Linked DNA regions of Arabidopsis thaliana. The protein of the gene in region 2 interacts with the protein of the main gene of each other region in a pairwise test. Each region holds a gene or a part of one and is shown on either strand. Other genes may lie near its edges.

The links.
Region 1: the proteins of TCP1 (region 2) and AT5G26749 interact in a two-hybrid assay, tested with the Arabidopsis thaliana proteins (one large-scale study listed by BioGRID).
Region 3: the proteins of TCP1 (region 2) and WRKY45 interact in a two-hybrid assay, tested with the Arabidopsis thaliana proteins (one large-scale study listed by BioGRID).
Region 4: the proteins of TCP1 (region 2) and BOA interact in a two-hybrid assay, tested with the Arabidopsis thaliana proteins (one large-scale study listed by BioGRID).

Annotation. Positions count from the first base shown.
Region 1 is NC_003076.8:9,395,294-9,402,775, forward strand, and holds AT5G26749 (C2H2 and C2HC zinc fingers superfamily protein), read right to left. Parts: upstream 3,975-7,482; 5' UTR 3,947-3,974; coding exon 3,814-3,946; intron 3,730-3,813; coding exon 3,608-3,729; intron 3,461-3,607; coding exon 3,397-3,460; intron 3,266-3,396; coding exon 3,194-3,265; intron 3,102-3,193; coding exon 2,992-3,101; 3' UTR 2,722-2,991; downstream 1-2,721. Other genes in the region: SK 11 (shaggy-related kinase 11), read right to left, coding at 4,289-4,371, 4,474-4,576, 4,691-4,774, 4,876-4,971, 5,071-5,121, 5,209-5,349, 5,437-5,493, 5,590-5,664 and 4 more.
Region 2 is NC_003070.9:25,166,238-25,173,565, forward strand, and holds TCP1 (TCP family transcription factor), read right to left. Parts: upstream 3,071-7,328; coding exon 1,991-3,070; downstream 1-1,990.
Region 3 is NC_003074.8:323,074-330,944, reverse strand, and holds WRKY45 (WRKY DNA-binding protein 45), read left to right. Parts: upstream 1-3,532; 5' UTR 3,533-3,785; coding exon 3,786-4,039; intron 4,040-4,141; coding exon 4,142-4,331; 3' UTR 4,332-4,993; downstream 4,994-7,871. Other genes in the region: ACR6 (ACT domain repeat 6), read right to left, coding at 1-76, 164-346, 449-494, 640-720, 836-846; AT3G01980 (NAD(P)-binding Rossmann-fold superfamily protein), read left to right, coding at 2,112-2,203, 2,327-2,846, 2,920-3,198; AT3G01961 (uncharacterized protein), read right to left, coding at 5,594-5,764; AT3G01960 (uncharacterized protein), read left to right, coding at 5,858-6,074, 6,165-6,364; AT3G01950 (peroxidase (DUF 3339)), read right to left, coding at 6,707-6,919. UniProt on the Arabidopsis thaliana protein: Transcription factor. Interacts specifically with the W box (5'-(T)TGAC[CT]-3'), a frequently occurring elicitor-responsive cis-acting element.
Region 4 is NC_003076.8:24,000,351-24,010,681, reverse strand, and holds BOA (Homeodomain-like superfamily protein), read right to left. Parts: upstream 6,795-10,331; 5' UTR 6,636-6,794; coding exon 5,739-6,635; 3' UTR 5,696-5,738; intron 5,522-5,695; 3' UTR 5,329-5,521; exon of another isoform or gene 4,447-5,328; 3' UTR 4,444-4,446; coding exon of another isoform or gene 3,560-4,443; 3' UTR 3,471-3,559; coding exon of another isoform or gene 2,993-3,470; 3' UTR 2,838-2,992; downstream 1-2,837. Other genes in the region: UGT76E2 (UDP-glucosyl transferase 76E2), read left to right, coding at 97-580, 665-1,530; UGT76E1 (UDP-glucosyl transferase 76E1), read left to right, coding at 2,993-3,470, 3,560-4,443; SRR1 (sensitivity to red light reduced protein (SRR1)), read left to right, coding at 9,108-9,935. UniProt on the Arabidopsis thaliana protein: Transcription factor that is a critical component of the regulatory circuit of the circadian clock. Binds to specific sites on CCA1 promoter leading to CCA1 activation.

The DNA.
Region 1 (7,482 bases), on a different chromosome or scaffold from region 2:
TACAAGAGTTTTAAAATCCTTTAAAAACTCTTGTAAAATATTTTAAAACATTTTGTAAAGAATCACAAGAGTTTAAAAATGGTTCAAAAAGAGTTCTGGATGTTGTAAATACTTACAATTTTTTCTAAGAGTTAAAAAATGTTTGTAATGACTTTATAAGAGTTTTAAAAGGATTTACAAAGGTTTTAAAATCCTTGTAAATCTTCTTAAAACTCTTAAAAAACTCTGGTAAATCTTGTAAAACTATTGTAAAAAGTTATAAAATGATTTACAAAGGTTTAAAAAGGGGATTAAAATTATTTACATATGTTTTAAAGACTTTATAAAGATTTTAAAATGTTTTAATATGATTTACAAGAGTTTTTAACAACTATCAAAGCTTTTAAAAAATTTTACAAGGTTTTTTTAAAGAGTTTTTAAAAAATGTACAAGGATTTTTACAAGCATTTTTTTGGCTGAGAAAAAATTTGTTACGAGAAAATATTTTGGCGGGAACATTTTTTTGGCGGAAAAGAAAGTTTGGCAGAAATTTTCTTTTTGGCGGGAAAAGATTTTAATTTTCAATTACATGTTCTTATTAGATGAGGGTAATTTGTTCACTCTGTTCAAGGGAAATGGTATTTTTAAAAATGGAGAACAGAAAAGAGTATTGTTGCAAAAAGTTAGTAAAAAAATGGTAGTTTTGTAGGTCTCCCCATAATAATAAATCCTTTTTAATGCCTTTTTTATGATGACCCTTTTCAACTCTACCCTTTTTTAAAACAATTTTCATTTCTACCCTCTCTAAATTTTTAATTACCATTTTATCCCTATTTGGAAATTGTTTTACGTTAACAAAATGAAATATTAATATTTTCGCTTAAAATTGTCTATAATAAATTTCCCGCCAAAATTTTCAAAAAAAAATTCCCGCCAAAATGTTTTTTTCAAAAATATTTTTGCCGCAAAAAAAAACATTTTTGGCGGGAAATAGATTTACAAAGGATTTTAAAAGGGTTTTAAAAGATTTACAAGGGATTTTAAAAGGGTTTTAAAAGATTTACAAGGGATTTTAAAAGGGTTTTGAAATACTTACAAAGGATTTTAAAGGACTTTAAAAGATTTACAAAGGTTTTTTAAAGATTTTTAAAGGGTTTAAAAATATTTTATGGAATTTTAAAAGAGTTTTAAGAGATTTACAAGAAATTTTAAAAGGGTTTTAAAATATATACAATGGATTTTAAAGAGCTTTAAAAGATTTACATAAGCTTTTTAAAGGGTTAAAAAGTGTTTTAAAAGAGTTACAAGGGATTTTAAAAGAGTTTTAAAATATTTACAAGAGATTTTTAAAGGGTTTTGAAAAATGTACAAATGTTTTTAAAAGATTTTTAAAGAATTTACAAGAAGACCCTTTAAAAACTGTTGTAAATCTTTTTAAAACCTTTTAAAATCCTTTGTAAATCTTTTAAAATCCTTTGTAAATTTTTTTAAATCCTTTTAAAATCCCTTGTAAATCTTTTAAAATCTTTTAAAAATCTCTTGTAAATCTATTTCCCGCAAAAAAAATTTACAAGGATTTTTAATTTTTGGCTGATAAAAAAAATATTACGGAAAACAAATTTCGCGAGAAATTTTTTTTTGGAGGGAATTTATTTTTTTGCGGGAAAAAAGTTTGGCGGTATTGTTTTTTTTGGCGGGAAAAAAAAAATATGGCGGGAAAATTTCAGTTTCCAATTACATGTTACTATTAGATGAGGGTAATTTGGTCATTCTGTTCAAGGGAAAAGGTATTTTTAAAAAAGAACCACATATAAGGGTATTGTTGCAAAAGGGTAGTTTTGCAAATCTCCCAAGAATTAAATTCTTTTAATTATAGAATCTAATCCATAATCACTCTTTTATAAAAACGTAAACAATTATTTAACCACATTTAATTGAATTTAGTTGTAAAATCCAAACCCTAAGCATTCTTTTATAAACTCAAATTGACTTATAATCTCGTTTAATCGTAAAATCTAAATCCTAATCTTTTTTATAAATCTAAACAGAAATATAACATTTAATTACAAGATCTAAAACCTTAACTATCCCTTTAATTATAAAATCCTAACTGAAATATAAGATATAACCTTTAATTATAACCCTGAAACCCTAAAACCCTAACAGAAATATAATCTTTAATTATAAAATCTTAAACCTAAACCGACATATAAGTAATTATAATACGCTAATCAAACTCTTCTTTATAAACTCAAACTATTTACTTTGTTCATAATTAAAATAAAAAATAAACTAAAACCCTCCATTATAAACCTAAAAACCAATATATAAATTTGAAATATTAACTAATAAATCATAACCTATCTTTTATAAACTCAAACCAACATGCTCGACTAAATTACTCTTAGGAGATTCGAAGATATTTCTCTCAACAATAAAGAGTTTAAAATTAGTTCTATTTTATGGAGTTGAAGAAATGAAAATGAAGTTAATAATTTAAATATTTGATTCTGAACAATCTGATTTTTCTTTTAGCCAACTTATACTCTGTTTCTCAATAATGTATTTTCTAGGGAAAAAATTGTTCCAACTTTGTAATTAATCTACAGCCTTAGGAATTGCTCCAACTTTGTCAAATATTTTGATAGTTTGGCTTGGGAAGTCTTGTTTAGCACATGGCCAGGAAGCGGATAGCGAATTAGCGATATCCTATCATCACGCAATGAATAGGGACGAGCCAACGAAATTTAAAGAATTTTATCAGAATATCGCACAGTATGTTAAATTGCAAATTTGCCATGTCCAAACTCCGAACAATGTCTCTAAAGTTGACGACAAATTGAGTAACAAGACGACAATTTGGTTGACATTCTTCCAACCTCGAGTCTGAAAAGAGACAAGCTTGTGGCTAAAAGCTTGGTAATGGCAGAGCACAACGAGACAAAGATTAGTCTTTTCCTTTCAAGTAGAATCATCAATGTTGAAACTGAGCATTATTCAGAGAATTTATATCTATCCCCAGTCTATGAAGGGAAGCTGAGGATAGCCTTGCTCAGGAGGCGGTTTTAGCGATGGCGGAAGATCAAACCAACCTGTTCCTGGTCTCCCACTAACAAAATCACCTGTTTTAGACAATTCAAACTTCCAACATCAGATTTTCTATAAATGCTTAAATATTAGAGAACTTGAATGACGAAAAAACAAGAACGCATACGGTTTAAAGTACTTCCTTGGATGTGTTGTTGGTTAAGCATGTCAACACGAAGTTGTGTATTATTTGTGAATCCTGCATTTGAATTCAACAAGAGGATGATGTTTTAAGCAAATCTTGCGCATAGTAGAGACTTCTTTAAAGCTTTAAGTAGCCTAAAAGAGACCAAATCACTGAAGTCAAAAATCAACAGGTTTTGACCTAACCTGTGCTTCCTGTATTGTTGTTAGGATGGAAGTATCTGCAAGAATCTCCAAATGGGCAAAAATTCTGCAAAACCCATTAAGAAAGGAACAGACTTTACTTGGAAGATTACATACATACACACATATGCAATGAATTTTTTTGCAGAATCAAACAAAGCAATGTAAAATGTGTGATTCCACCAGAATATAAACGAAAAGGACAAGACTTTACACATCCAGAGATTGCTAGGAATGATGAACATAGCGAAACAAAATCAATCCGACGTACCGAGGTAATGAATCGATTGCAGAGACCTTTCGTCGCAAAATTGGAGACTTGTGGATTAACAAGATCTAAGAATTTCGTATTAAAAGAAACAGAGATGTTAAAAATCGTTCCTTTAAGAAACAGAGAGAAAAAAGAGAGAAGAGAGATACCTGAGGAAGAAGAACTGTACCAAAGGGCTTTAGCTCGAAGATGAGGTTTGCTTTGAAGATGGCGTTTTCTAGCGACTTGAGTGTCTTGAAACTCTTTCTCGCAATAATCACAGTAATATTTCCCCGACGGCATCTTCCGGCGATGACGACGACGACTCGTAGAATCAAAAAGTTTTGGCTTTTATTAGTTTTAGGCGCGTGAGGATACTTGTATTTGCTACAGTGACTTTTAGGGTCTTTGTTTGATGATGTTGCAGAGGAAGAAGAAGATACAAAAGCAGAAGTAGCAAACTCTTTATCTAGATAAAAAATCTTGGTGGGCTTTTACATTATGAACCAACCAACCATAGTAATAACTCTTTTTTTCTCTACTCATACAACAAACAAAGGGTGCATATCAGTTTGTGACATATTGATACATAGAGAGGTAATTTATAAGAAGTGTTTGTTGTGTTCATGCTACATTAAGAGGAAATCACAAACCGAGCCAAGGACACTGCTTCCTTGCATGCTCAGGTACTAACTTAGCTACCATCTCCAATGGTACACCTTTCAGCTCTGTTTCACAACAATTACAGGTATAGCTTTAGTAAGGTAAAACTTTGATGATTTTACAGGTAAGTTGGAGATAAACACCATTAGGAAAGGGAGATGTTGTACCGTGAGGCTTGAAGTTGAAAAGCGGTGGAAGGAAACGTCCATTAGGTAGACGTGCGTTTGGGTCTCTTAACTCATCAAAGAATGGGTGGACTAATGTGTCGAGCTGTGATCAGGTTTACGATTCAAGTAAAAGCAAGTCAGACAAAAGAAAAATAGGAAATGAAAGGACCATCGAGAAGATTCACAGAAGAATGTTGAATTTGTAAGTAATACTCACAGCGGCACTTCGTAGATTAGGAGAGTATTGAAGAAGTCTTGAGACCAAATCAACAGCTTCTGGAGGCATGCGTTTGTGGAAAATCTGTGAATATATTATGACGAGTAGATATTGTCACATTGACTGTAACTGCTACTGAATAACACATTGACAAGTTGATTTGATGAATATAAGTTTATTTCTACCTTGTGCCATGGATGAGCTTTAATCTGAGGGAATTTGAATTCCGTGTAGTTTGGGTTCATGCACTTGATTTCTTCTCTAGTAGGCGTTCCCAAGACCTACCCCAAAGCATAACAAAAAACATTACATCAAATCTTCTCTCAGTATTATTGAAAACAAGAACTTGTTATCAAAGTGAACAAGTGCAAAGCTTATACCTTGATAATCTCTACAAGTTGATCAACACCGCTCTCACCAGGGAACAAGGGCTGTCATGAGCAGAGAATAGAGTTTGTCAATCACAAAATTCCAGGTTAAGTAGAACAAAAATGTTTGAATAAGATTTAATGCATTACCTGTCCAAGCAATAGTTCAGCTAGAACACATCCTGCAGACCAGACATCAATGGCTGTCGTATACTCGGTTGCTCCAAAAATAAGTTCAGGTGCTCTGTAATACCTCGAGCAGATGTAGGAAATGTTTGGTTCTCCTTTTACCTGTTTTCAGATATTACAATGATCAACAAGATTGAATCTAACTTTTTCCAAGAAACAAAGTACCCGGAAGAGGTTTATCAAACTCACCAATACTTTTGCACTTCCAAAATCACATAGCTTTACTTGATGAGTGTGCGGATTTACCTGTTCCATTACAGGTGAAAAAAGTAGCATTAGACAATGAAGAAAAGTATATTCCCGGGTATACTGTGAGCTCCTGTTTATTTAACTTGTACATACCAACAAGTTTTGAGGTTTTATGTCACGATGACACACACCAATGCATCGGTGAATGTAAGATAAGGCTCTAAAAATCTGCCAAACATAGAGAAATCCGATAAGAGATCCAAAACATAACTCTAAATCTAACAGAAATGTAATAATTGATACCTGATAAGTGTAAAGTTTGACGTATATAAGAGGCATTCTCTGATTCAGTTTGTTGTAGTGTTTGATAACACGATGAACAGTTTCTGGAACGTACTCAAGAACAAGATTGAGGTAAAGCTCATCTTTTTCAGTGGTTGAGAAGAAACAATGTTTCAGAGACACAACATTAGGATGGTCAAGTAGCCTCATGGTTTGAAGCTCACGGTTCTTGTACCTCCTATCTTGTAAAACTTTCTTTATCGCAACAGTTTCTCCTGTCTCAAGACATTTCGCCTAAATCACATAAGAAAATACAGAGGAATCCAATTCAGTCAATTGATAGATACATGATGTAAAACGTGAGAGATGATAAGCTAACAAAAACTCACTTGGAACACAACACCAAAAGATCCGTGACCAACAACACGCTCAGCCATGTAGCTAATTGTCTGCATTGACATTGTAGAAAAATTAATAAAAACACGAAACACTAACCAATCAACTAACTTAAGAAGATTAAAAGAACAGTTTTTTGCAAAGAAGAAGAATCAAAAACCTGTTTTGGTTGGCCATTTCTACCACCAATAGTAGTCACAATGATATGTCCAGTCTCTGTTCCATTTCCATCTACCACTGTCGCTTCCATTTCCTAACAAACCACAATCCATTATTTAGATTCTCATGAAATACATACCAAAAACTATACTACAACGCATGGAAACATACTTTATCGTCACGAATTTTCATGTCATTCATTTCTTCAGGCAATTTATCAACACCAGTAGAGTCTCTTGCTCCAGGATTAGGAGCTATACCCACTGACGCCATTTTTCAGGCTACAAAACTCTTCAAACTTTCAAGCCTGCAACAAATAACAACAGAGATTAAAATCCAATGAGTAAAGTTTGTTGCTTTACTAATAACAAAACACACAAATTCAATTTCAATAAAGGAACAAAACACAATTCTTTCAAGCTTAACAATTGAACACTTCAAATAAGTAAAAAACAATTTAGAACACTAAAATTACGAAAAGGAAAGTTTTTTTTTAACGGGAACAAAAAAAATAATGATAAGCCCAAAAAAAGTTGCAAAATTTAAAAGACCCAAACATTAAAACCAAATTAGAGTTTGGTAGAGAAGAGAGAATCTGTCGATTTTAAAATGATGGGTTAAATTAAAATTCATGGTGAAGCAGATCTGAAGCTAAAACCCAGAAGAAGGGATGAAGAAAGAGAGAGATCTTTAAGACGTACCGATGAAAACGTAAAAATCTCAGATCGATGAAGAGAAGAATTAGGATATTAAAGAGAGAGAGATCCGTACGAGTAAGGATTTGTGGGTTTTAACAAAAAAAAAAAAAAGGATTTGTGGGTTTGATGATTATGAATCTCTCTCTCTAACTTTATTTATTTTTCCGGTGAGAGACGAATTATGAAATATTTTTACTTTATATTATTTTGTGATTCGTCTATAATCATCTCTCTCTATATAGCTGGCTTCTCGTGAAGACAATTTTATTATTACTATATTGTAAAAGAAAAAAAATTAAATCATTTTTTTTTTTTGGTAGGGTGGGGAAAAAAAATTAAATCATTGATAGGCAAATGGATAATTTCTTTGAAAGTGAAAAAGAAAAAATAATGGGACTCGTCGAAGTTAGTAAAGTTACATTGGTTTTAGTTTTTGTCCTCTTTTTGAGATTTGACCATTCAAACTTTTATATTTTCTTCCCAACACAACAAACCAAAAGAGATAAGGGTC
Region 2 (7,328 bases):
CATGATACACATTTTTGACAAGCGAGTGACACTTTCTGATTCACACCATATCCCACCAGTTTGTTGATAAAAACTATCATTTTATGAGTTTTTCAATCATGTTTATAAAATTTTTCGTAATTTAACAATCAATTATTTTCAACTAAAGTATGATTTAAAATAGTTTTGTTATATTTTTCAAACATGTTAAAACAAATTTTTATTTTCATAATATATTATTTCTTTGATTATTTTCTCATTTTATGAGATTAGGAATGTACAGCGAAAAAATTGTCACATGCACAAACAGCTTCAAAAAGAAACTACATTTGGATAAGCTTTCTAAAACTTGTACCGACTATACTTGTAATGCCAACTTCTCATTCTTCAAAACAGAATCTTACAATCTTCGATGTGTGTGGTTCAAACTTAGTGGAATCTTAAGTCCCTATATATTGAGATTAGATTCCTTCCAAGGTTAAAAAGAAATTCTTATTGTTCATCTTTATCTTGACTGCTCCAACGTGAATGTTCAACCTTCTTACTTTTTTTTTTTTTTCGGTTTAAGAACAACCTTATTACGTACTTAGTCTAATTAAATTAGACTAGCTTTAACCATATATGATCATCTAATTTGACTAATTATCCTAAAATTAGTTAGTTAAACCAAATAAATTTAGGCATATACTGTAAATTTAAAAATTATTAACAAATAGAATCAGTCAAATCTTGTATCATTCTTTTACACGTTTTCATTAACTCCTAACATTCAGTTTCTTAAAAAGTTTTACGTTTTGATAGGATTTCCGACTAAATTGTAAATTAAATTAAAACGACTAAATTCTAGAATCTCAAATTGGTGAATATCAAGTTTCATAAGCAGAATTGATTGGCTAATCTCTTGTATATATGGATCTATTTGGGGTCAGCTAGGAACAACAATATTGATTTAGGTTCATGTCAACGTGTGTTTGGAGTTTGAACTATGATAGCATATTCAGTTTTGAGGATTTATAATAATTCAAACAAATTGGTAGTGACTGAATTGATCCATGTACTTATTTACTACTAAGTGAATGTTATCATTTCAAAACATTGAGTTTTCTTTTGGATTTTTTTTTTTCACATCTCTAGTCAGAGTTTAACCTAAAAGCCTTAAACAAATCTTACTCGAATATGTTAAGTTAACAATCATTGTTTCCAAAACGCCAAACTTCAAACCCCATAAACAAACAACTCATATTTGCTTCAAAAAGCATCATTGCAAAACATCCTCCGAGTAAGAGAATAAATACACCAATATATAAATGTGTATATATCTTCTATATAGACAATAATATGAAAGTAGGATATATTCTCCTCATACCTGGATGGCCAAATCACAAACTATGAATCAAATAGACACCACGGCAGGCACGCCTCCACATTCCACACACTAATTCTCAGTGTCACCTTCAATTTGCAATGTAACTACTTCAGTTTCACTACGACCCTCAATATTCATCATCATACATATTTGGTTTTGTGGGTCTTAATTGAATTTAGGGTTTGAAGAACAAATTCTAATATATGGAGCTCTAACTTAAACAAAAATGGCTTAATCTTAAAGACTAGCTCTTATGTGTAGTGCCTAATCGAAGTATGAATCTTGGATTGTAATGGGATGACCAAATATATAAACATGTTCTTATTCATCTTCAAAATATATAGTTCAAAAGGTTACAATAATACCACTTAAAAGTTGTAGCTAAAATATTACACAAACTGAATCTTAAAATGACAATTTTGATCAAGGCACAGAAGATCAATAAAGATACGTTAAAAAGGAACAGATATACATAACTATAGATTTTGTATACATTCAGAGGAATAAGGGACTATATTGGCTTACATGTTTAAACTTGATCATGCATAGTCCTTCAAAACTGTCGAGATTTATAGGAAACCTGCCAGAAACAATCAAGAGAAAGAAAACATATCATAGAATGCAAACATATATATGAACAATAATTTAGTTTACAAAAGAGTCTTGAATCCAAACTTTACCTTTGGGGAAATTTTTGTCGGTGACTACATATAAGGTTTGGTCATGAAAAGGGTTTTGATCATAACTATAATCCAAATTTTGAGGCAGAAATGTATTATAGTTGCTGCTAGAACTCTGATCTACCAACATAAGTATCCCATTATTTTGATTGTAACTTTGACCCATCTTCGTTGGTAGAGTCATATTGGTTAAGATAGATTCTTGATTATCAAACTCCTCGATTGGTTCCTTGTAGAAAAGGTGTGTCATATCTTCTCCTTCATTGAAGACTATAGACCTCTTGAATGGGTCCATGATTTCAGATTGTGTAATATCAGAGGCAGTCTCTGGATTATCATAGGCCATCATCTCTTTTGTTCGCTCCTTTGCTTTTCCTCTAGCTTTGGCTCCTAGCCCCTTTGATGAGATGTTTCTCAACTCACTCTTCTTCTTTCTTATCCCTGCCTTCGTGGCCTCACATACCACTTCTTCTTCACCGTACCCGGGGCTCAAACCATACACGAAGCTCTTATCGCCATTGTCATCCTCCTCCTTCTCCTCTTCTTGTTCTACATCGCCTCCAATGTTTCCAAAATCTTCATCATCATTGTTGAGGTTTTTTGCTTGTACGACCTCTTTGATGGCTTTTCTTGACTTCTTGAGCAGCCAGTCTAACGTTTTACTAGCTTTATCAAACCCCAACATATCCTGAAGATCAAAGAATTGGCGAGCAATCCCAATAGAAAGCCTAACCCTCCTGTCTCTAATCCCTTGTGCCGTTTGAATCTTGCTATGTCGGTCCTTCTTCACCACCTTCTTGATTTCCTTTGACACCTCAGGAAACTCAAAGCCTTGTTGATTCACAACATTATTTGACTTAAACGCCATGTAATCGATCAGAGATTCAGGAACTGCTGATACCATATGGCCCGGAGATGCTTTTAACTGATGGTTGTAGGGATTATGAATGATGTCTTGATGGCCAGAGAGTGAAGAAAGGTAAAGAGAGAGAGGGTACACTCCATTGTTATTACCATCGTTGTAGTCATTGGTGGAAGACGACATCACCGAACTTAAGAAGCTAAAAAAAACCAAGAATCAAGAATCAAGAACCAAGAATCAAGTATTAAAAATATGCCTTTTTCTTAAGAAACAAAAGCACAACTTTCACATCATCAAAAAGAGAGAATCTGGCAGAGAGAGAGAGAGATAGTAAGCGTACAATTTCTCACACCAGCAAAAAAAGAAAGAAAAGAAAAAAACTATAGAGATATTAATGGTGTAAGAGATGTGTAACAAGAAAATGGTTAAGTGTACAGTGATGAAGACATGATTTTGTGTATGTAATTGAAGATCTGCTCGCAAAAAAGCAGATCTGTTCTTCTCCTCTCTCACTCAGTTACAGGTTAATTTTTCACTAGGGTTTACAACTTTTTTCTAGGGTTTTCAATTCCAGATCTAATATCTGGTTATGAACTTATATATTGGGGATTAACCTCAAACTCAACTATTTTTAGTATCTTCTTAACATTTTACTTTTACTACGTATACATATACAAGTAGGTAACGTACCTTTCGTATGAGTGCTCCACAAAAGCAACATCTAATTAACATGGCCCATATAGTCCAAAAATAATAATTCAACAATAGAAGACGACATATGAAGGATTTGTTTCCATTTCAATGATAAACATCACGCTTTTAAGAGTCAGTATTGAAGGCGATCGATGTTCTTGAATGTATAGTATTTCACTGTTTTTATTTTTTGTCGGATCTCAGACAAGATCTGCTTTGCTTTCGTTTTGGATATAAAAAAAAACTTCTATTCTTTTGTCCAGTGGTTTCTAGTTTTTCCTACATGCCATGGAAATGGAAATTTAGATTTTTTTTGGTGGGTGAATTAGTTTTGACCGGTTAACGAAACTATAGATATGGAATAAATGTGTAGTGTACATATAACAACGTAACATAAACATTATCCCTTTATTTAGGGTTTTTGTCAAAAGAGAAAAGAGGCTTTAATGTGACCTGAGTTGGTTTCCCGTACGATTGAAGATTGTGAAAAGATTTGTCGTTTTCAATTTTCTTTTGACGTCTCTAGCTAGTAGTCAAGGGTTGTTCTAATTTACAGTGGGCGCAAATGCAATATATGCATTCATGCACCCAACTGTTTATATACAAAACCATAGAAAATATAGTTTTTTTTTTTGTTATCACATAAAAATAGTATTTTATCATTTTAGTAATTTGAAATGTGTAACAATATAAATACGACGGTTTTAAAAGATATTTGAAATGAAAAAAAAAATAAGTTGAATCATGACAAAATAAAGGAAACTATATAATTATAACGGTTTCAAGCTTAACAATTTAGGGTTGAGTAGAATTTGGGGTTTTAGATTTTAGTTCTTGGATTTAGTGTTTAGTTTTTAGAGTTTGGAGTTTATAATTTAAAGTTTATAGTTTAGATTTTAGTTAGTATTGTTAATTTATACAAATCTACACTAGTTTCTACCCTAGTAAGTTTAAGGGACGAGTGATTTCTGTTTTGGGTACTTTGAGTTTATTGGAAAAAAAAATTTTCCCCAGGAGAGCTATTTTTTACAGATATTTATACCCTAGTATTTAAATAGGCTTTTAAATCGGTCAATCTATTAAACTCATGTTAGTATAATCGCATAACCGTTTAAGGATTTTAAATCGCAATTGACTCAATTAATTGAAGTTGTCTAATTGTGATGAATTTAATAGTTTAGGTGGAATTATGAGGTTTATGATATAGTTCATGGTGAATTGGGCAGAGTCTAAAAGTACACGGTGATACGAGTTGAACACCTATAATTCGTGTCGGTTTAAACATTTTATAGGCCTTAGGGCTAATTTTTAAAATAAGTCCCTAGCAATGTAAATTGTACAGTTATTTTTTTATATAGAAACCTTTATAAATTTTTTTATATGTTATGAGTATAGGAAAATAAATTTTATGAACTTTTTTTCTCAGAAATGTTTTTTTGGGCCCTTCTTACCCATATTTTTTTATTTTGCCTTCTACCTGTACTTTGTTTTTCTTGGATATTTTTTATCCATCAATATGAGGTACTTGAATTTGAAATATTTTTAGTGGTTATTTTACGATTTTGAGGAAAATATCTGAACTAGGATTGAAGCTAAAAGGAAGGGAATATGTTCGACTATCAAATCCGGGAAGCTTAGAAAATGTGTGAGGGAAACTGGTAAATTAAAACAAGCCATCTATCAACGTAAGTCTCTAAAAAATGAAACTCCAGCAGAAGTCGCTGAGCTTTTTTTTCTTTAATAAGAAGTAAATCGAAGATAGATTTGAAAAATACGAAGTGGCGAACAGCAAATTGAGGAATTGAGGAACATGTATTTAGGATATTAGGGTTTACAGAGTACATAAAGAAAAGGAAGGAAGATAGTGAAGTCGCCCAATTATTTCACTCAACAATGGTATAAATTTCGAACACTTGTTGTAGATGGAAGTTTTGGAGAATGAGCTTTTGGTTTTGGTCAGTGGTGGAGACTGGAGACAAGAGAGTCTTCAATGGAGAGAGGTTTTTTTTTTTTTTTTATTAAACAGGAAATGGTCATTTTTGAGTTATTTGATTCTAAAGTCTCTTCAAATTTCATGTTAGAATATGTGGGTTTGTTTATGTATTAAATAGATGTATCTAAAATCTCTTAAATTCTTCGTTTAATATGTGCTTTTTAGAGACATGGATGCATTCCACCCAAAATCTATAGATCATGGGCTACCACTTTAGTTTACATATTTATATTTTATATTTTCATTTTCAAAGCAATCATCTTAAGTCTTCTAATATTGGTAACAAATTTATATCCCCAAAATCTACATCTCGCTAGGATGCTAGAACATCGTTCATTTTCATCATCGAGTATCCAAACTAGTAAGAGAAAGTCCATTTATGTCGGTTGTCAACTAAGTAGAATCTCTTACAGATGGTTAGCGAACATGTAGCAATGATATATTTGGTATAATAATCCTGAGCCTCAAATACTACAGTATTTGGTCAAGAGATTGCTTAAAAATATTGAATACAAATTTTGATTATTGAGGTAACCTGGAACGTTAAGAAAGAGAGAGTGCTCTCTGTTAACCAAGGAAAATAAGCAATTCTGGAATTAGGCATATGTCAAATGGGCTGACCCTTATATTGACAGTCCAAAACTCAAAAAGCAATTGTTTATTTTAAATATATTTAGGCCTACTCCTAGTATAATTCAGCTTATACTTAGATCATGATCCAGTTCAAACACCATAATAAGGTAGTTCCAAAATTTTGTTTAATGAACATATAAATGGTACTAAACTATAAAGTCTCAAACCTTTGATAAATTTTGTTTGTAAACGTATTCGTTATTTGATATTATTTAGAGTTCATATTTTATAAACTTTGAAAAGTTTTACCTCTACGTAAAAATGTACAGTTATTTCTGTAATTCAAATATAATAATCAGTTTCAAATTTAAAAATGGCTTAAAAGGGGGAAATGAAACAATAGAAGATGGGCTGTGTGGATATAATGATGGGCTACTGAAAAGCTTTGAGTAGTAAAATGTGTAATCACTGTGAACGACCCATTTAACGAATATTTTGCGATCTAATTCCACGATGTGAAGTAGGAGTGGACAAGTTATTTGGATGATCCACACCGATTTTAGATCTGTCTCGATTTTTTAAATGTCCATGATCATGAATATGAGTAAAAGCGGTAAGAATCTAGAGGTGCATGTATAATATATGTATGGATACTGAATATTTTAGTTTTGATTATTCGAATCTGACATGAAAACATATATTATTAGTTTTTATACAATGACAAAAGCATAATGTATACAATCACGTTTTGAAGTTCATGCTTGCCTGAGGAGACTTCGAAGTCCATGTAGATCTTGAAAATTTGTTCGCAAAGATAGTTAATTAAAGTGCTATCAAACTAGCTAACAATTTAATGTTTCATGTAAGTATGAAAATATTGAGGAAGAGCATTACTTCATAAAGCACAAGATGTTTGATGGGACAATTGAAGCTTTACAAACTTTAAGATAACATTGCATATATCTCCACCAAATCATTATCAAAAGGCCAACTTGAATTACTTTGCTCGAAGTTCGGGTTGACTGACATAATCAGATTTAAGGTAGTGTTAAATTTAAACTTGATAACGGGTCTAGTTTAATTATGGGTTCATGATCCAGTTATCTCTCTGTTCCAAATCCAAAATTAAGCCCACATGCTAAAGTTTCACTAAAAACATTTTACAAGGTTATACCTCCTTGA
Region 3 (7,871 bases), on a different chromosome or scaffold from region 2:
TGTATTCGTCAGTGGGCATTACACCAACTGAGCTTCTCAAAGGTGGAATGAACCACCCAGCGTTGCTCTCTATCCTCTGCGCAATGAATTCAACAAACGTTTTACACAAAGAAAAAAACCTGTTGAAAATGAAAGAAAAAAAGTGATGAAATACATTAGAAACCTTTTGGATATAGTCAAGGACTTGAGTGTCTCTGATCTTATTGCCATCTTGGTCGATGACTTTGAAAACGTCCATGAACCAACCTCCATCGGAAGAGATGTAAGCTTTCTTGATCACAAGATTCATATCAGTGAGCACTTGTACTACTTCCAATAGAGTCCCATGTTTGTTCACACTATCAACCTTTTATTTAGCACCACAAACAAACAGGGAACTCTGTTTTCTCAAAATCTCTTTGTTTGGTACAGAACCACTTGAACAATTTGAAGAGACAGATTTATTTACCTGAATAACAGTGGCATCGTCGCTTGCGTTGTTGTCTATTACAACTCTGTATCCACCATGAAACATACATAAATAAAGATGAATGTTTTAGCAGCTGGAATCTTTACAAGGGTATAGAGGCTCACAAACGGAGCATGGAGAAACAGAGGACCTAGAAAACAATAAAAGAGTATGGAGAGAAAGAGAAAAACCTGGGAGGATTCATTCTCCTGATGAGCTTGGCATATTCATCATCATCCATGGTTGTAGTATGTATCTCCTTGGTGATTTGGCTGCAGCAGAAACCCAGAAGAGTGTGAGTCCTCCAATTTCTGAGGAAAATTCCTAAAAGAGAGAGGGAGAGGGAAGTTGAAGGAGGATAAAAATGGTAGGCCACCGGAACCGAACCTTGTTTTCATTAGTTGATCGAGCACGTGCCACTAAAGATTCTTAGAGATGACGTGGCACGGGCACAGCAACTTTTAGATTCTGTTATAATTGTTCGAATACTACCAAAAGTCGGGTGAAGATTTGGGGTCAATTTGATGATCATAAAGGGGATTATATTCTCCTTCTCAAGCAAGATGTGGTATTTACTAGTATAATAGATCATTCGTTATCTTGAGGTAGACCTCTCCGTAACGTTCACAGGTGCATGACCAAGTAACAATTTGATTCCTTTCCAGCATAACGTCATGTTGGTTGCAAAAAGAAGGCAAAGTAGAGCAAGCAAGCAAGCAAAGCATTTTTCTTATTTTATATTTTGTTGCGGATTCCACCACCCACTTGAAAAATTGACATGTCACAATGATTTCGTATCCTAGTCTTTTATTATTTAACACTCTCACAATCCCATTACTCTACACCTCTTTCATTAAGTCAACACACGGTTTTCAAAAATCCACTACCCTCCCACCACCTAGAATCTTTTGTTACCTACCAACACCCTCCTTTGTTCTCTTTATATATTGGTCCAACTAAATCAATAAGGGAAAGCATCCTTTTGGTTGGAGGAATTGCTTTCATTCTCACTCTTTGTGTGTTGATCAATGGACTAGCTAATAACAAGTTCCTCCTCTATATATTTCAAAAGAATGGAACAGAAACATAAACGAAAGACAGAGTACCTGATGTTGATGATTCATTGTCTGTCTGGAGCTCCCAAATGCCTTTTATGCTTACATATTCATAACCAACAACGGCTATTAATTATAAACCAAAAACACGAAATAAGTTTGTAGCAAAGTGAAATTAGGAATCTTGGAGATGGATCCATTAGTAGTAGGATAATAGGATATGATGGAATTTGGTTGGGGAACAGTGATAACTTACGCTTGCTTCCGGCGCCGGGAAAGTTGGAAAACCTACAAAGTACAGAAATGGATCTGGGCCTTGAAGTGGGCTTTTTATTAAAGAAAAAAATACATCTCCGTTATCAATCACCATCTTCTTCTATCTACAAATTAAAGAAGGTAACAACAGAACGTGGTGGATCATGTGGTTAGGCATTAATTATTTGCTTTGTTTCGCCGTTTTGGTAACACACAGACACAGTTCCGGTAAGAGCTTTTGCAGCCACTCTTTATAGTTATTTAGAATTGGCGATCGAATCAATCTCACTCCCTCCCTCCCTTAAGTCTTGTTGAATCTGCTGAATTGTTTTATAAAGAGTTACTTTGGCAAAATGGAAAATCCGGCGAAGAGAGTGTTGATGACATCCAACGGCGACGAGGTGTCCCGAAACATCGCTTTCCATCTAGCCAAACACGGTTGCAAGTGAGTCTCTCATTTTGTCTTCTTTCCTCCTATCCTGTGTTTCTTCTTCTAGCCCCGATTTGTGTTGTGGTTGACTTTGGTGTCTATAGTTAACCTTCAAAAAATGCAATGTACTGTTGCTAGGTTGGTAATGATGGGAAATGAGGGTTCCCTAAGGAGCATTGTAGACAAGATTAGAGATTCCATTGAGGGAGCCTTCCCTGCCGATGTTATAGCACTCGACATGGAATCTGACTCTGAAGTTGCTTTTCATGCCGCTGTCCAAAAGGCATGGGAACTTTCCGGCCATTTCGATGCTTTTCTCAACTCTTATACCTACCAAGGTTTAATTTGCTTCTTGTTTTTCACTACCCTGCCTTTGATGCTCTTGTGTGTTGATCATTCCTTTATTCAACAATCTTTCTTTCTTGCAGGAAAGGTGCAGGACATTCTTCAAGTCTCTCAAGATGAGTTCCACAGAATCACAAAGATCAATCTCACCGCTCCATGGTTTCTCTTGAAGGCTGTAGCCACAAGGATGAAGGACCATGGATCAGGAGGCTCCATTGTCTTCATGGCCACTATCGCCAGCGGAGAGAGGGCGCTTTACCCTGGCGCTGATGCCTACGCTTCAACTTCTGCCGCTATTCACCAGCTCGTCCGGGTATGCATCCTAGCTCCTAATTAGACACATCGCGTTCGTAACTTGAATATGTTTGTTGATGATTGGGTTTCAGGCATCAGCCATGAGTCTCGGGAAGCACAAGATACGGGTCAACATGATCTCTAGAGGGCTGCATCTGGATGATGAGTATACAGCTTCTGTGGGAAGAGACCGAGCGCAGAAGCTGGTCAAGGACGCTGCACCCCTCGGCCAGTGGCTCAACCCGGACACAGACCTCTACTCCACTGTTATCTACTTGATCAGCGATGGCTCACGCTTCATGACAGGCACCACTGTCTTGGTGGATGGAGCGCAGTCCCTTACGCGACCCCGTCTCAAATCCTACATGTGATCAATGCCTAGTATTATTATAATTCTATGTTGTGTGTAAAAAGTGAATATGAATCAAGTTTGAATAACTATGGAGGGATGAATAATCCATGGAATCAATGATTATATACTTTTGACAAGTATAGAAGAAAGCAAAGAGCCAAAATAGTCAACAATCTCAACATCATTCGAGCTCATTGTTTATTGAATTCAATCAAGTTTGGTAGGTGAACCTCAAATACACGTGATATTGGATATTATCTTGGAAACCTTGCTAATCCAAATTGTAAATCAAATAAGAAAAGAATGATTACCTCAGAGATCTAGATGCATATTGATTCTTGACCAAGAAATATGTTTGAAATTTGAATCCATTGAACCAAAATTTGAAGGAGTTGCATATATAATAATATAAATCAGAATGATGTAGCCGCCACACCTTTTTGTTTCCACAAAACTCTTTTTCTGTGATGGATCCGCTAATGTAGCCATATTTTCAATATATATCACTTTCTCTGGCATCTTCGCTACCGTGTACGTCTCTCTTTCTCTCCCTCCCCTCCTTGGCTTTTTTCAAGTTCCCACCATAAACGCAGAGGGAGTTAAGAAATGGAGGATAGGAGGTGTGATGTGTTGTTTCCATGTTCATCATCGGTTGATCCTCGCTTGACAGAGTTTCATGGGGTCGACAACTCTGCTCAGCCGACAACATCATCCGAAGAGAAGCCAAGGAGTAAGAAGAAGAAGAAAGAGAGAGAAGCGAGGTACGCGTTCCAGACAAGAAGCCAGGTTGATATACTGGATGATGGATACAGGTGGAGGAAGTACGGCCAAAAAGCAGTCAAGAACAATCCATTCCCCAGGTACGTACTTAATCATCAATGAATGATACTGTATGCTTGCTATGGTGATCAAATAAGAGACTCATATACATACATGTAAAATATGAATATATATATATATAGGAGCTATTATAAGTGCACAGAAGAAGGATGCAGAGTGAAGAAGCAAGTGCAGAGGCAATGGGGAGACGAAGGAGTGGTGGTGACGACATACCAAGGTGTTCATACACATGCCGTTGATAAACCCTCTGATAATTTCCACCACATCTTGACACAAATGCACATCTTCCCTCCCTTTTGCTTGAAGGAATGATTAGAGGAATTGGATTGTAATATTTACTTTCCCAAAAACGTTGGGCTCACACCATCAGACCTTTACTTTTAAACTAGCAGCAACTCACATATCTCAAAAATACTAATCCTTATCTTTGTCTTTATGGGACCTTTGAATCCATCTGCTTTGGTGTCTTAGTCTCGGCTGCCCTGTAATCGAAAGTATATTCATCATCAAATTACCAAACATAAAGAAGCAATGATGAGTCTATCATCTACAAAAACAATGTTATGTATCCCAAACCTACCGATTATTCCAAAACTAGTGACAAGCTAAGGATATTGTGGAGATGAAGATGAGAAAGAGTACGAAAGCTAACTTTGAGGTTTCTTCTTGGATCCAATTGCGAATATGCTTCACGTTTCGCTTTAGAACGGAGGACGCTTTCTTTGTTAGGCCCATTAGCCTGGGCTCTCGTGTTTTTCATAATGTCAAGTCAGCCCAACAAGCCCAAATCTTTACAAAAAGAACCAAGGACCATGTCATCCGGAATATGGTGATATTATTGGATTATACCATTGGACCATTTAACACAAAAGCAAATATGCAACAGAATATATATAGATCACATAACAGTCAGAATCTTCTCAAAAGATATGCTTTCTTCCTTTTCTATTCTAGAGTGTTTTGATGACATCGGCACGAAGATAATGTTATTTTACAGATTTAGCTAATTAAGTCTTTCGTAATAATTATCAAACTCAAATTGTTGCGTTTTAATTTACCGCCGCCACAATACCGCACGAAGATAATGTTATTCGCTTGTGAATTTCTTTATATTAATCTCTCACGAATAAATTAATTCACATTCTTACATAAATCGAAACTTATCCACATTTTCTTGATTCTTTTCAAAAGTTATACGAAAAAGTTAGTTACACAAAATTTATTAAACACGGATAAAATAACGGTTCCTTAATCTCAACACTTTCACTTTTTTCCGAACCCATTGAATGGAAAAATGTTATGTTCTTTTTTTATATAGCAATTGGGAAAATATGTTTTGCAATGAGAAATTGTAGAGTTTGCGGCTTTGCGCCATCCATTATTTCATATAGAACTTAGAGAATAATATATCTATTAATTGAACTACAAGATATATCTTATAAATTTTCTCCGAGATATTTCTCATAAATCGTCCGTATCATCTGTCTACCGCGGAAGATAGATAATTAAGGAGCGTAAATATAGTGCGTAAGGATTGAACCCTGTACTGTATAATTACACATATATCATATATTTTAAATTGTAAAATGAGATGTGTCGTCGTGGCTGTTTGAGCCTGAAAGTTGAGATCTCGTCATCAACATGTTATGCTTCTGAGTGATATTATTGCAAGACGAAGGACCACGCGTCTTTGATATCTCTATCTCCCTGCATGTATTCGTCACAACATAACGAAACCCTCCCATATATATCTACGCAACAACACACTATGTTTGAATGCATGAAACACCAGCTACAGGTAGATCTCGATCGGGAAAGAAAAAAAGAGTTGTAATATCATGGAGATGAACAGAAGGAGATCAAGAGGGTTCATGATAGCTAAGCTAATGCCCTTTTGCAAAGCTGTGAAATCTCCAACTCCTTCCCAAGACCTTTATAATAATGTTCATTACACTTCTTCCACTACGACTTCCTACGCTCGTCAACCTGATTTCAACAACTACGTAACTGCCACTACGCCTCTCCCTCCTAAAGTTAGCTTCCTCCTTCAACCATGTACGTAATTAACCTTTCTTTTAAATCTAGTTTAGCTAATTATAGCTATCTATCTTTCATATATACATGTCTATAATTAGTGACTGGCAGCCTTGGCTCCTGAGGGTAAGGATATGGAAAAGAAGCTGAACATGATGGCAGAGAAGCTGATCGGCAGAGGTATTAACGGAGTGGACGACTGCGTTGACGCTAGAGCCGCTTCTTATATCTCTTCGGTTCGAGAGAGGTTTAAGGCGGACCAATATTGTGAGAAACTGACGACTGTTATTAGCTTAGATGATGAAAATTGACTTTTAGGATTTAAGTGGAGTTACGTACGTTGACCTAGTTATATTATACGTAAGTCATAAGTTCTGTTCTACGTTGCTTCAAGATAAGATATTAGTGGGAATTAAAGCTTTTATTTGGGGTCTGTAATAAGTAGGCGAGATAAGTTACTCTTACTCTTTGAAATCTCAAAACCAAAATAAAAAGTGGGAACTTAATTATGACAATATACATGGTTCATAAAAATGATTATTCTTGATAAATGAACCAACCATAAAAGAAGGAACTAACAGTATTCCACAAGAAAATCAGAAATCAAGAAATGAAGAAAAGGAGCCATGACGTGAAGGGGAAGGTAGGGTTAATTAGGCGGCGTAGATGTGGATGTGAAGGGCGATGAGGGAGATGGTGATGAAGGCGAAGAAGAGGAGAGTGTGGATGACAATGGAGGGGCCGCTTGTCTGAAACCCACCGAACTCAACCGCTTTGCTCTTTCCGGGCAGCTGAAACAAAACTCCAGGGCTCAACACGATGAAGAAAATTACCGACATTAGCACCGGTCCCCAGTCCAACCCCATCTTTGTTTTCTGTTTCTTCTCTAGCTATAATATACGTCTCTCTATAAACATCTACCACTTTATTATGTGCTTATATTTATAATGTACGCGTAAATGTGAGAATGAACTTGATGTCAATACGATTAATTAATAATATATATGTGGCTTGGGCTGGACAAAAGTGGAGGGTTCTTCTCAAGTTTGTGGGATGAAGGAAAGAACTATTCTCTGATATAGTATTTTAAATTATCTGTACAAAAAAATAATTAAATATCTAGATCGATAGTATTTTGCTTGTTTTGAAGGCCAAGCATATGATTCTCCTCCTCTTCAGGCATTTCAATTCATAAGCAAGCATATGATTCTCCTCTTAAGGCATTTCAATTCATAAGCCAACATATAACACCTTACGTTCTTGCTCCGGTTCTGAGTTTAAGGGAAGTCCATCCGCTTCTGACGGATGTAATAATATTCATGCAACATATATAAGTCATATATATACTGAAGTAATTTTAAAACGTCAATCGCAAAAATAATACACAATACACTAATTAACGCCATAATTTTTATTTTTTTAACACCATAATTTTATTATGCACTAACGCGGTTATTAATCAAATCACGTAGTATTAGTAATGAAATAGGGATAAGATCCACATGAGGAAAGCAAAAGAATCGAAACCAAACCAATAAACGCAATCAAGTATCAAACACTTTAACTTTATATACATAGCCACTAAATGTATATATCCATCCAACAAGAAAGAAAGATACTGGTCAAGTCTCAATCTGCCTTCTTTTGTCATCCTTAAATAATCTCAATAGTTTCTGAATTTCAAAAAAGTACACAAAACACACCTATTATCACACGTACAATATATATATACCAAGTGCATTAATACACTTGTGTGTGTATATGTAATATTGTTCCAAGTAGTGCTTTGACACCTAATAAGACGATCAAATCTTTTTG
Region 4 (10,331 bases), on a different chromosome or scaffold from region 2:
GTCTATATATCAGATAAGCAGCCTTATGTCTCTTTGAGCTTTTTCCATTTCATATATTGAGAATGAGAGAGAATTAAGAAAAAGAGAGAGAAAACAATGGAGGAAAAGCAAGTGAAGGAGACAAGGATAGTGTTGGTTCCAGTTCCAGCTCAAGGTCATGTAACTCCGATGATGCAACTAGGAAAAGCTCTTCACTCAAAGGGTTTCTCCATCACTGTTGTTCTGACACAGTCTAATCGAGTTAGCTCTTCCAAAGACTTCTCTGATTTCCATTTCCTCACCATCCCAGGCAGCTTAACTGAGTCTGATCTCCAAAACCTAGGACCACAAAAGTTTGTGCTCAAGCTCAATCAAATTTGTGAGGCAAGCTTCAAGCAGTGTATAGGTCAACTATTGCATGAACAATGTAATAATGATATTGCTTGTGTCGTCTACGATGAGTACATGTACTTCTCTCATGCTGCAGTAAAAGAGTTTCAACTTCCTAGTGTCGTCTTTAGCACGACAAGTGCTACTGCTTTTGTCTGTCGCTCTGTTTTGTCTAGAGTCAACGCAGAGTCGTTCTTGATCGACATGAAAGGTATTCAAGATTCTAGCTTGTTTTATCTTAATTCAAAATCCTATTTATAGAAACTAATCCAAATGATCGATGTTATCTTTTCAGATCCTGAAACACAAGACAAAGTATTTCCAGGGTTGCATCCTCTGAGGTACAAGGATCTACCAACTTCAGTATTTGGGCCAATAGAGAGTACGCTCAAGGTTTACAGTGAGACTGTGAACACTCGAACAGCTTCCGCTGTTATCATCAACTCAGCAAGCTGTTTAGAGAGCTCATCTTTGGCAAGGTTGCAACAACAACTGCAAGTTCCGGTGTATCCTATAGGCCCACTTCATATTACAGCTTCAGCGCCTTCTAGTTTACTAGAAGAAGACAGGAGTTGCGTTGAGTGGTTGAACAAGCAAAAATCAAATTCAGTTATTTACATAAGCTTGGGAAGCTTGGCTCTAATGGACACCAAAGACATGTTGGAGATGGCTTGGGGATTAAGTAATAGCAACCAACCTTTCTTATGGGTGGTCAGACCGGGCTCTATTCCGGGGTCAGAATGGACAGAGTCCTTACCAGAGGAATTCAATAGGTTGGTTTCAGAAAGAGGTTACATTGTGAAATGGGCTCCGCAGATGGAAGTTCTCAGACATCCTGCAGTAGGAGGGTTTTGGAGTCACTGTGGATGGAACTCAACAGTAGAGAGCATCGGGGAAGGAGTTCCGATGATATGTAGGCCTTTCACCGGGGATCAGAAAGTCAATGCGAGGTACTTAGAGAGAGTTTGGAGAATTGGGGTTCAATTGGAGGGAGATCTGGATAAAGAAACTGTGGAGAGAGCTGTAGAGTGGTTGCTTGTGGATGAAGAAGGAGCAGAAATGAGGAAGAGAGCCATTGACTTGAAAGAAAAGATTGAAACCTCTGTTAGAAGTGGAGGTTCCTCATGCAGCTCACTAGACGACTTTGTTAATTCCATGTGAAGATGATGAAGGGAGATAAGATAGTCCCTAGTCTCTTAGCAAAAAAAGAAAAAAATAAGGTCCCTAGTCAAAGTCGAAAGTGCATCAAGATGATATACAGGACATGAATTCTATTTTAAGTGTAATATTTGGAAGTTGTCTCTATAATAAGAATTTTTACGTTGTTGTCAAAAAAAAAAAAAAGGAGTTTCTGCATTTGGATACAGAAGCATTATTTTAAGTTACTCTCAAACAGGATAAGAGATAAAAGATGTTGTGCTTCTCCATTACAGTTTCTTAGACCAAATTCAATCACTTAAACCCTCGAAGTTACATCAATTATTTTCACTTTGTCACTATACCAAACAGCTCAACTATTTTTTACTTGAACTCTTAAAGTTACTGCAAATTATTTTCACTTTGACACCATACCAAATCAACTATTTTTACTTGAACCCTTTTAAGTTACTCCAATTAATTTCACTTTGTCGCCAACTCAACTACTTTTGAGTTACTTTAATCGAACTCGTTTTGATGGTCACAAGCCAGAGGTTGTGTCTTAGAATTATACTATTTAAGTCCTTGTACATAATTTTCAGAATGAGAAAGCTCTTGATGCTTTTAAACAGATGTTGGCTCATGAATATTATATCCAAATTCAACAACGATTACTAGCATTTTGCCTGCTTGTACCTCACTTGTGAATATGAAGCAGGGCAGGAGATCCACGGCTACTCGGTGGACTAGAAGATCACGGTTTTGTTACTATCAAAAGTAATGATCTTGTTTGATAAGAAAACAACGGTTTGAAGGAAGTTAGATAAATAACATGTTGGTCAAGTAAACTACAAAAATACAAAATCCTTTGTCTTTTGCCGCGTCTATACATCCACACTACAAAGTTATGAATCCGAATTACGGCAACGCGGCAGCTACAGTGGTTAGATGTCATGTTCAGAAATGAAATTCTAAGGTGTACGTACGTCGACATAATTTAAACGAGTGTGCTAGTTGTTATGTTCAGACATGAAATTATATGTTAACCTTAAGCAAGAGGGAAAATAAGTAAATAAATGATAGAGGTAGACTTAATTAGAAAAATGGTCCAAAACAAGACAACAAACTTAATAAAGAAAATGACAAAAGGAAGCCTTAAATGGTGCTAGTCACCAAATTTGTCACTTCCTTGTAACTTTGGGAATTCTTTGTCTAGTTTATATACTCCACGTGCTTTTTCTTGTGGTATGTCCTTCCTTCCACAATGTTGAGATCTTTCCCTAACCTCATAATTTTCCACTTAGGGATAAAAATAAATAACATGTCGATGAGACCAATGAAACAGTTAATATATATCCCACGTGCTATATTTCATATTAATTAGATCTGGTTCAAGCATTTAAGCATCCTTATGTGTCTTTGAGATTTTTCCATTCACACATTGACCAAAAAAAGAGAGAGACCAAGACTCCAAGAGAGAAAAACAATGGAAGAACTAGGAGTGAAGAGAAGGATAGTATTGGTTCCAGTTCCAGCACAAGGTCATGTAACTCCGATTATGCAACTCGGGAAGGCTCTTTACTCCAAGGGCTTCTCCATCACTGTTGTTCTCACACAGTATAATCGAGTTAGCTCATCCAAGGACTTCTCTGATTTTCATTTCCTCACCATCCCAGGCAGCTTGACCGAGTCTGATCTCAAAAACCTTGGACCATTCAAGTTTCTCTTCAAGCTCAATCAAATTTGCGAGGCAAGCTTCAAGCAATGTATTGGTCAACTATTGCAGGAGCAAGGTAATGATATCGCTTGTGTCGTCTACGATGAGTACATGTACTTCTCCCAAGCTGCAGTTAAAGAGTTTCAACTTCCTAGCGTCCTCTTCAGCACGACAAGTGCTACTGCCTTTGTCTGTCGCTCTGTTTTGTCTAGAGTCAACGCAGAGTCATTCTTGCTTGACATGAAAGGTACTCAAGATTTTTTAGCTTGTTAACTCAAACTTTAAAAGTGCATTTAGGTATATAAACCAATCCAAATGCTGTTGTTTGCTTTGCAGATCCCAAAGTGTCAGACAAGGAATTTCCAGGGTTGCATCCGCTAAGGTACAAGGACCTGCCAACTTCAGCATTTGGGCCATTAGAGAGTATACTCAAGGTTTACAGTGAGACTGTCAACATTCGAACAGCTTCGGCAGTTATCATCAACTCAACAAGCTGTCTAGAGAGCTCATCTTTGGCATGGTTACAAAAACAACTGCAAGTTCCAGTGTATCCTATAGGCCCACTTCACATTGCAGCTTCAGCGCCTTCTAGTTTACTTGAAGAGGACAGGAGTTGCCTTGAGTGGTTGAACAAGCAAAAAATAGGCTCAGTGATTTACATAAGTTTGGGAAGCTTGGCTCTAATGGAAACTAAAGACATGTTGGAGATGGCTTGGGGTTTACGTAATAGCAACCAACCTTTCTTATGGGTGATCCGACCGGGTTCTATTCCCGGCTCGGAATGGACAGAGTCTTTACCGGAGGAATTCAGTAGGTTGGTTTCAGAAAGAGGTTACATTGTGAAATGGGCACCACAGATAGAAGTTCTCAGACATCCTGCAGTGGGAGGGTTTTGGAGTCACTGCGGATGGAACTCGACCCTAGAGAGCATCGGGGAAGGAGTTCCGATGATCTGTAGGCCTTTTACGGGAGATCAGAAAGTCAATGCGAGGTACTTAGAGAGAGTTTGGAGAATTGGGGTTCAATTGGAAGGAGAGCTGGATAAAGGAACAGTGGAGAGAGCTGTAGAGAGATTGATTATGGATGAAGAAGGAGCAGAAATGAGGAAGAGAGTTATCAACTTGAAAGAGAAGCTTCAAGCCTCTGTCAAGAGTAGAGGTTCCTCATTCAGCTCATTAGACAACTTTGTCAATTCCTTAAAAATGATGAATTTCATGTAGTCCCTGTTTTGAAGTCAAAACTGTATCAGAAGAGATTCTTTATAATCATCATGAATCAAATGGCATAAAAGGAGATGGTTTCTATTTTTAGAGTAATGTTTTGGCAGTTGTATCTAAAAATAAAAGAGTTTCTGCATTTATAGACAAAATCATTGTTCACATGATAAGAGATAAAGAGCTTGGGCTTCTCCATTACAGTTGCTGAGGCCACGTTTCAACCACTTGAAACTTTCATTTAGGTTACTTTAATAATATTTCACTGTCACCAAACTAAACAGCTCAACTAAGTCCCATGAAAAGACTGGCGCATTGGAAATTTCAAGGACAGTTTGAGTCAGTTGTTGTAAGTTTAGGAAGGGTAGAGGAGACACGAGTGACCCACAAAGAAGTAATATGAAGATAACGTTAGAGAAACATCTTTTGAATGAAACAAAACAGAGAGGTGAAAAGTGATCTTCTAATGGCGACTCTACATTGGTCACAGAAATATTCTATGGATTCTCATCTAGTTTGCAGATTTAAAGATCTTAACAGATTATTTACCAAATGAAAACTATATGGCTAAAAGGCTAAAACTACTAACTCATTGTGGGCAAAGAAACACGAGCTTATGGTTGAAATGTCACTTTCTTCCTTGTGGTTGGGAGTTAATTGGTGTATGACCATCCAACACAATCAAAAGATACTTTTCTTAAGAAAGAGAAAAACTATTTTAATAGAAGAAAATGATAAATGAAAGAGATATTTATCAAAGTGAGGAGACATGAGACCTGATGCTATCTTCATTATCCAAAGAAAGAAACAATTAACATAACCGAACAAACATGTGACGCTGTCTTGAATTTAAGAAGACTACAAGCGATGAGCAAAAGAAGGCTTTATTACCTCATAAAGAATGGAGACAGTAGGAAACTAAATCATTCATAGAAGGCTTCATCCTCCAACAATACCAAGCTTCCCAGTGATTTTCTCGAAATCATTTTCTATACAAAGGCAATAAAGACTTGTGTGGAAAACATGGAGAATTAAAAGTCACAACAACCTCATGAAGTGGGAAAATAAACCATAAGCCAAGAACCTGTAACAAGAATCAATTAAGATCAACTACTTGCAAAGACAGAGTAAATATATAACAACACCAAACTAGGATTTGACCATAACACTCTACCAAGAAAATTGTAACACTTTGCTAGTAACATGAACAAACATCAAAGAATAAGAATCTCAAAGAAGAAGACGAAAACAAGCTCACCAGTATCTCTCTGTAGAGCAAATTATAGACCTTTAAGATCCATTTACTTGTCATTCACGTCACCACCACCAACAGAAGGATATGTCACCATTGTTCCAAACTTATTCTGCTGCATCATATATTGGTTTGATTCATTGCCATGGTTACTATACTGTTGATAATATCCTTGCATACCCATTTGATTCCCATAGCCTGGAATAGGCACCATCGACGGAACCGGAACCGGAACCCCCAACTTTCCGTTACTTCCTCCGCCGTCTTGAAAGCTCTGTGGAGGAACCGGCGTTGAAGAGAAGAGCTGATCCGACGACGAATAAGGATCTTCTTCCGTCGTCAATCCTTGAATCCGTTTAAGGTAAAGCCTATATTTCTGCAAATGAGACGCAACGTTCTCACGAGTAAGTCCTTCCACGTTCATCAGCTGCATAATCGTCTTCGGCACTGCGTTTTTAATCCCTAGATGAGCCACAACGTCCACAAATCTCTTGTGTAGCTGCGGTGTCCACACTAAACGCGGTCGTTTCGATGTCTTCCCAGACGCGTCTTCAGGCCCGGAGTCTCCTTCCTCCGCCGTGGAATCCTCCACCGCCGCTGCTTCACCACCATCCGATTTCTTCTGTTTCTTCGGATCTGATCCTGGAACACTCGATTCAACTCGATCCACGACCTCCTCCATCACAGACGAAGCATTGGTACTGCTTCTCAACGAAGAGAGCGTGATTTGCGACGCGCGATTGACGTCGTGAATTGTACGGCTTCGTTCTGGGATCATGCTGAAAGCTAACGCGAGAATCGACGGGACTAGATATTGAGATAACGGAGTCAAATCATCTCCGTTGGGTAAACCAATTTCCCATTCCGGAATCCTATATTCATCGCCGCCGCCGGCGTCTTCTCCGTCGTCGTCACCGTAATCGCTCACCATAACTTCCTTCCCCATGTTTCACACACTCTTCGTTTTCATAACTTTCATAACGGTTTCAAATCCTTTAAAGCTCAACAACATGTGGAAAAATATCGGATCAGAGATCGGAGAAGGTGACCGGAAAATTCGTAGAGCCTAGTTTTTTTTCTTTTTAAAAAAAGAAAAAGTGCAAATATCCGCCAACGTGGCCTAGCGAGCTAGATAATCTAAAATATCTTTTACCCGCATCAAAGTCTACTCGCTCTGTCTAAGTGACACGTGTGTAATCAACCAACTTATCTCCAGCCACGTCATTAGTGCATGGTTCTAGAATGTAGACAAAAGGCACGACGGTTTAGGCAGATAGTTGCAATTACAACTAGTAACAAGTGACCCTTTAACGTGGCTAAGTGGGCCAAAAAGAGTTCAATACCGGTGGGTTTGGGCTACGAAAAGAGTTCAATTTTTAAAACAATTATTAAATTTAAAAAATTTCTCTATAAATTAATATTTGTTTAAATTAACAAAATTTCGCAATTCTAATATTATTAATTTATAAAAGTTTTACTGTATCCGCAAACCATACACCACTGCATCGGAACTCAACATTCGCTGTCTGAGTTTAGGGTTAAACAGCAACACATAAAATACACGTTATTTTATAATGAAAAAGAACAATAACGGCCTAAACTACATTTCCTATAATGAAAAATACACGTTATTTTATTTTACGTACTTTACTTTTAAACTACTACTAGCATTTGGCCCCTACTATGCAGGGACAACATTGTTTTAAATTATATCTGCTACAACTCTTAACTAAGATTTTTAAAATAAAGCAGACAGCATAAATATACAACAAATTTATTATCATTGACTGAAGAATATACAAAGATTAAGAAAAAGATATAAAGAAGGTACAACTTTTCTACCCAATGAATCAATTGCGATAGACAGTAACTAACAAATCAAGAGTTTAGAAATATAAGAGAGTATAAGTACGAAAATTATGCTGGGTATATACATGTCCGCTTATTTCATCATTAGCTCCAACCAATTGTAATGTGTTCTTCTTCTCATCATCAGTAATTCAGTTTACAAACATTCGTTGACACCCAAAGCTTGGAAGTCTAAAAAAAAATGTAAAATGTGCACAAGTAAGTAACTACATAACGCAGACGCTGCCTTTGAAACAATATCAAAGATATTGCAGATATAAAGAAGTAAAATAAGAGATGACTTTAAAATTGAAGTATTTGTATTAATACAAAAATCTTGCGTGAAAATACAATTGCGGTTTAATACAAAAAAGAAATTGCAAATATAAAGAAGTAAAATAAGAGATGAAAGAAGAATAGTAAAAAGTATGAGAATTAATTTACCATTAAAAAAACACTTGAGCTTCGATTAAGATATTAAACTCACCCTTGTTTTAAGGCAACTGTTCAGATGAGAAGCCAAAATTTGTCGTTGTTCTTTGAGTGTTTGTGAGACGGGAGAATCATAGGCATTGATTGTATTAAAGAATAATCCTATGGAAAAATGGAGATGTATGAGAGAAATCGAATTCAGTCAAATAAAGCAGAAACAAAGCAAAAAAAAAAAAAAGCCATAGAAATCTAGAAGAAGGATATATGATTTTCGGATCTATGGAGAATTCTATATATATAAAACAAAATTACAAACAAAAATAGAAGATGGTAAATTGGTTCATTGAGATGAACAAAGTACCTGATTTCTGAGTAATCGATTAATGATGTTGAGAAACCCATCTTTGAGATTTTACACAGTAGTCATGGAGTTTTTGGAAGAGAGAAAGTGGAGATGTGGAGATCGTGGGGATGAAAGAGAAAATCGTTTGAGAATGAAACAAAGTTAAATAAAAACGACACATACTATGCGTAAAAATGAAAAAATAAAAAAGTAGTACTAAGCTGATGTGTCAATCACTGAATGCATCAGTTATTGGAAAATTGACTGCTGATTTAGTATATTTAGATTAGTAAAACAAAATCAAAAGAAATAACAGGAAACAAGACTTCAGTTGTCTCTATCTCGCGCCTTTATTGGGCCGTATCTAGACCCATTCCATTTCCTCTAGCCCAATACCTGTTTACCAAATCTTCGCGTACAAATCATCTGATTCACTTTATCGCCGCGCGACTCGGCGCACCAAACTCACAAATGTCTCACTGAGTCCACTCGGTCACCACATATTCGAAGCGTTCTTTGCTTCCTCTGTATTTCAAGCAAGCTTCTTCGATCTTCCTCCTGTGTTTTCGTCTCTAATCGTAAGTTTAATTTTGCTCGGTATCGAAGATTTTTGTCAATCTCAAAGTAGATAGATCAGAGTTAAGCAAAGAGATTGATAATTAGGTTTAGGAATCGAAATTTATTGTGATGTTAGGTAATCGGAACCAATGGAATCATTGCATTGAGTAGAAACCCTAATTTTGGGGGACTGTGGAGTAAGTAGATCAGGAAAACCAGTTTCTTGTGGAAGCTTCAATGGAAACGACTGTTAAAAACTCAAGCAGTGATGGTGAGTGGAAAGTAGTCTTACCTAGTAAAGGAAGACAAGGAAGAAGAAGAAAACCGAAACCTAAAGGTCAAGCAGAAGAAGAAGAGCAACCATGGAAATCAGATGATCTTGAAATTGATCCACAGAGACAAGCAAGACTAAAGCAGAAGATGGAAATCTCTCTGAAGAAAATCGAAAGCTCGAGTTTTTACACAGCATTCTTGGAGCAGCTTAAGTCTCCTGAGGTTTCGAATCAGATTCGCCTCGTGTTAGGGTCTGAAACACAGTTGCAGATGGTGATGTACGGTATAGGTAGCATTGAGTCTTATGAATCTCCGAGGTTTCAGCTGAGCATTGCAATCTTGATGAAGAGAGAGTTTGATTGGGTTGGTGATAACATTGAAGTGTTTGACCCAGTTCTCTCTGCAACTGAATCTAGTTACCTAGAATCTTTGGGATGCAGTGTTCTATCTGTGAATGAGCAAGCTCGTAGGGAAGCTTTAAAGCCTACTCTTTTCTTCATGCCACACTGTGAGGCCAATCTATACAGCAACCTATTGCAAGCAAATTGGAGAATGGATCGACTGTCGAAAATCGCATTGTTTGGGAACAGCTTTCAGATGTATGAGGAGCAAGTTTCATTTGACGCAGAAGTCATCTGTGCTACCAAACGAATCATAGCTGCACAAAGAGTCACAAGCGAGTTTGCTATTGAGACGGAATCAGATGATTATTTTGCAGCATTCCATGATTCAAGCTGGCATTTTTTCAGTTCTGGTATAGATTCGGAGCTGCCATTGTTCGTTTCAGACTAATTTTAGATCATTGTTTTCAAAAGCTTTTTGATTTTCACTTGTGCAACATTTTGTTTATCTGTCTTTTTCCTCCTTGCATAATCTTAGCCTTCAAGGCGGGCAAAACAATTGAAGTTATTGACTTATCAATGCAGTCAATAAAATTTAATGCTTGTCTGATCATAATAAAGATGCAAACCGTGGTTTATTTCTATGTCAATCAATTGTATTTGTGTTTCTAGTCTTTAAGATGGTAATCAGTTGCCATCATTACGATTTGTCTATCTATTTTCATTGGTTGCAACTTGCAAACAAAAAGAGAAGAAAAATAGTTGAGGAACTTTTCTTTTCGTTTGTTTTTAACTTTTGATAATATGGTCAATTTATTAAGAAAGCATTACATCCCTTATATTGAGT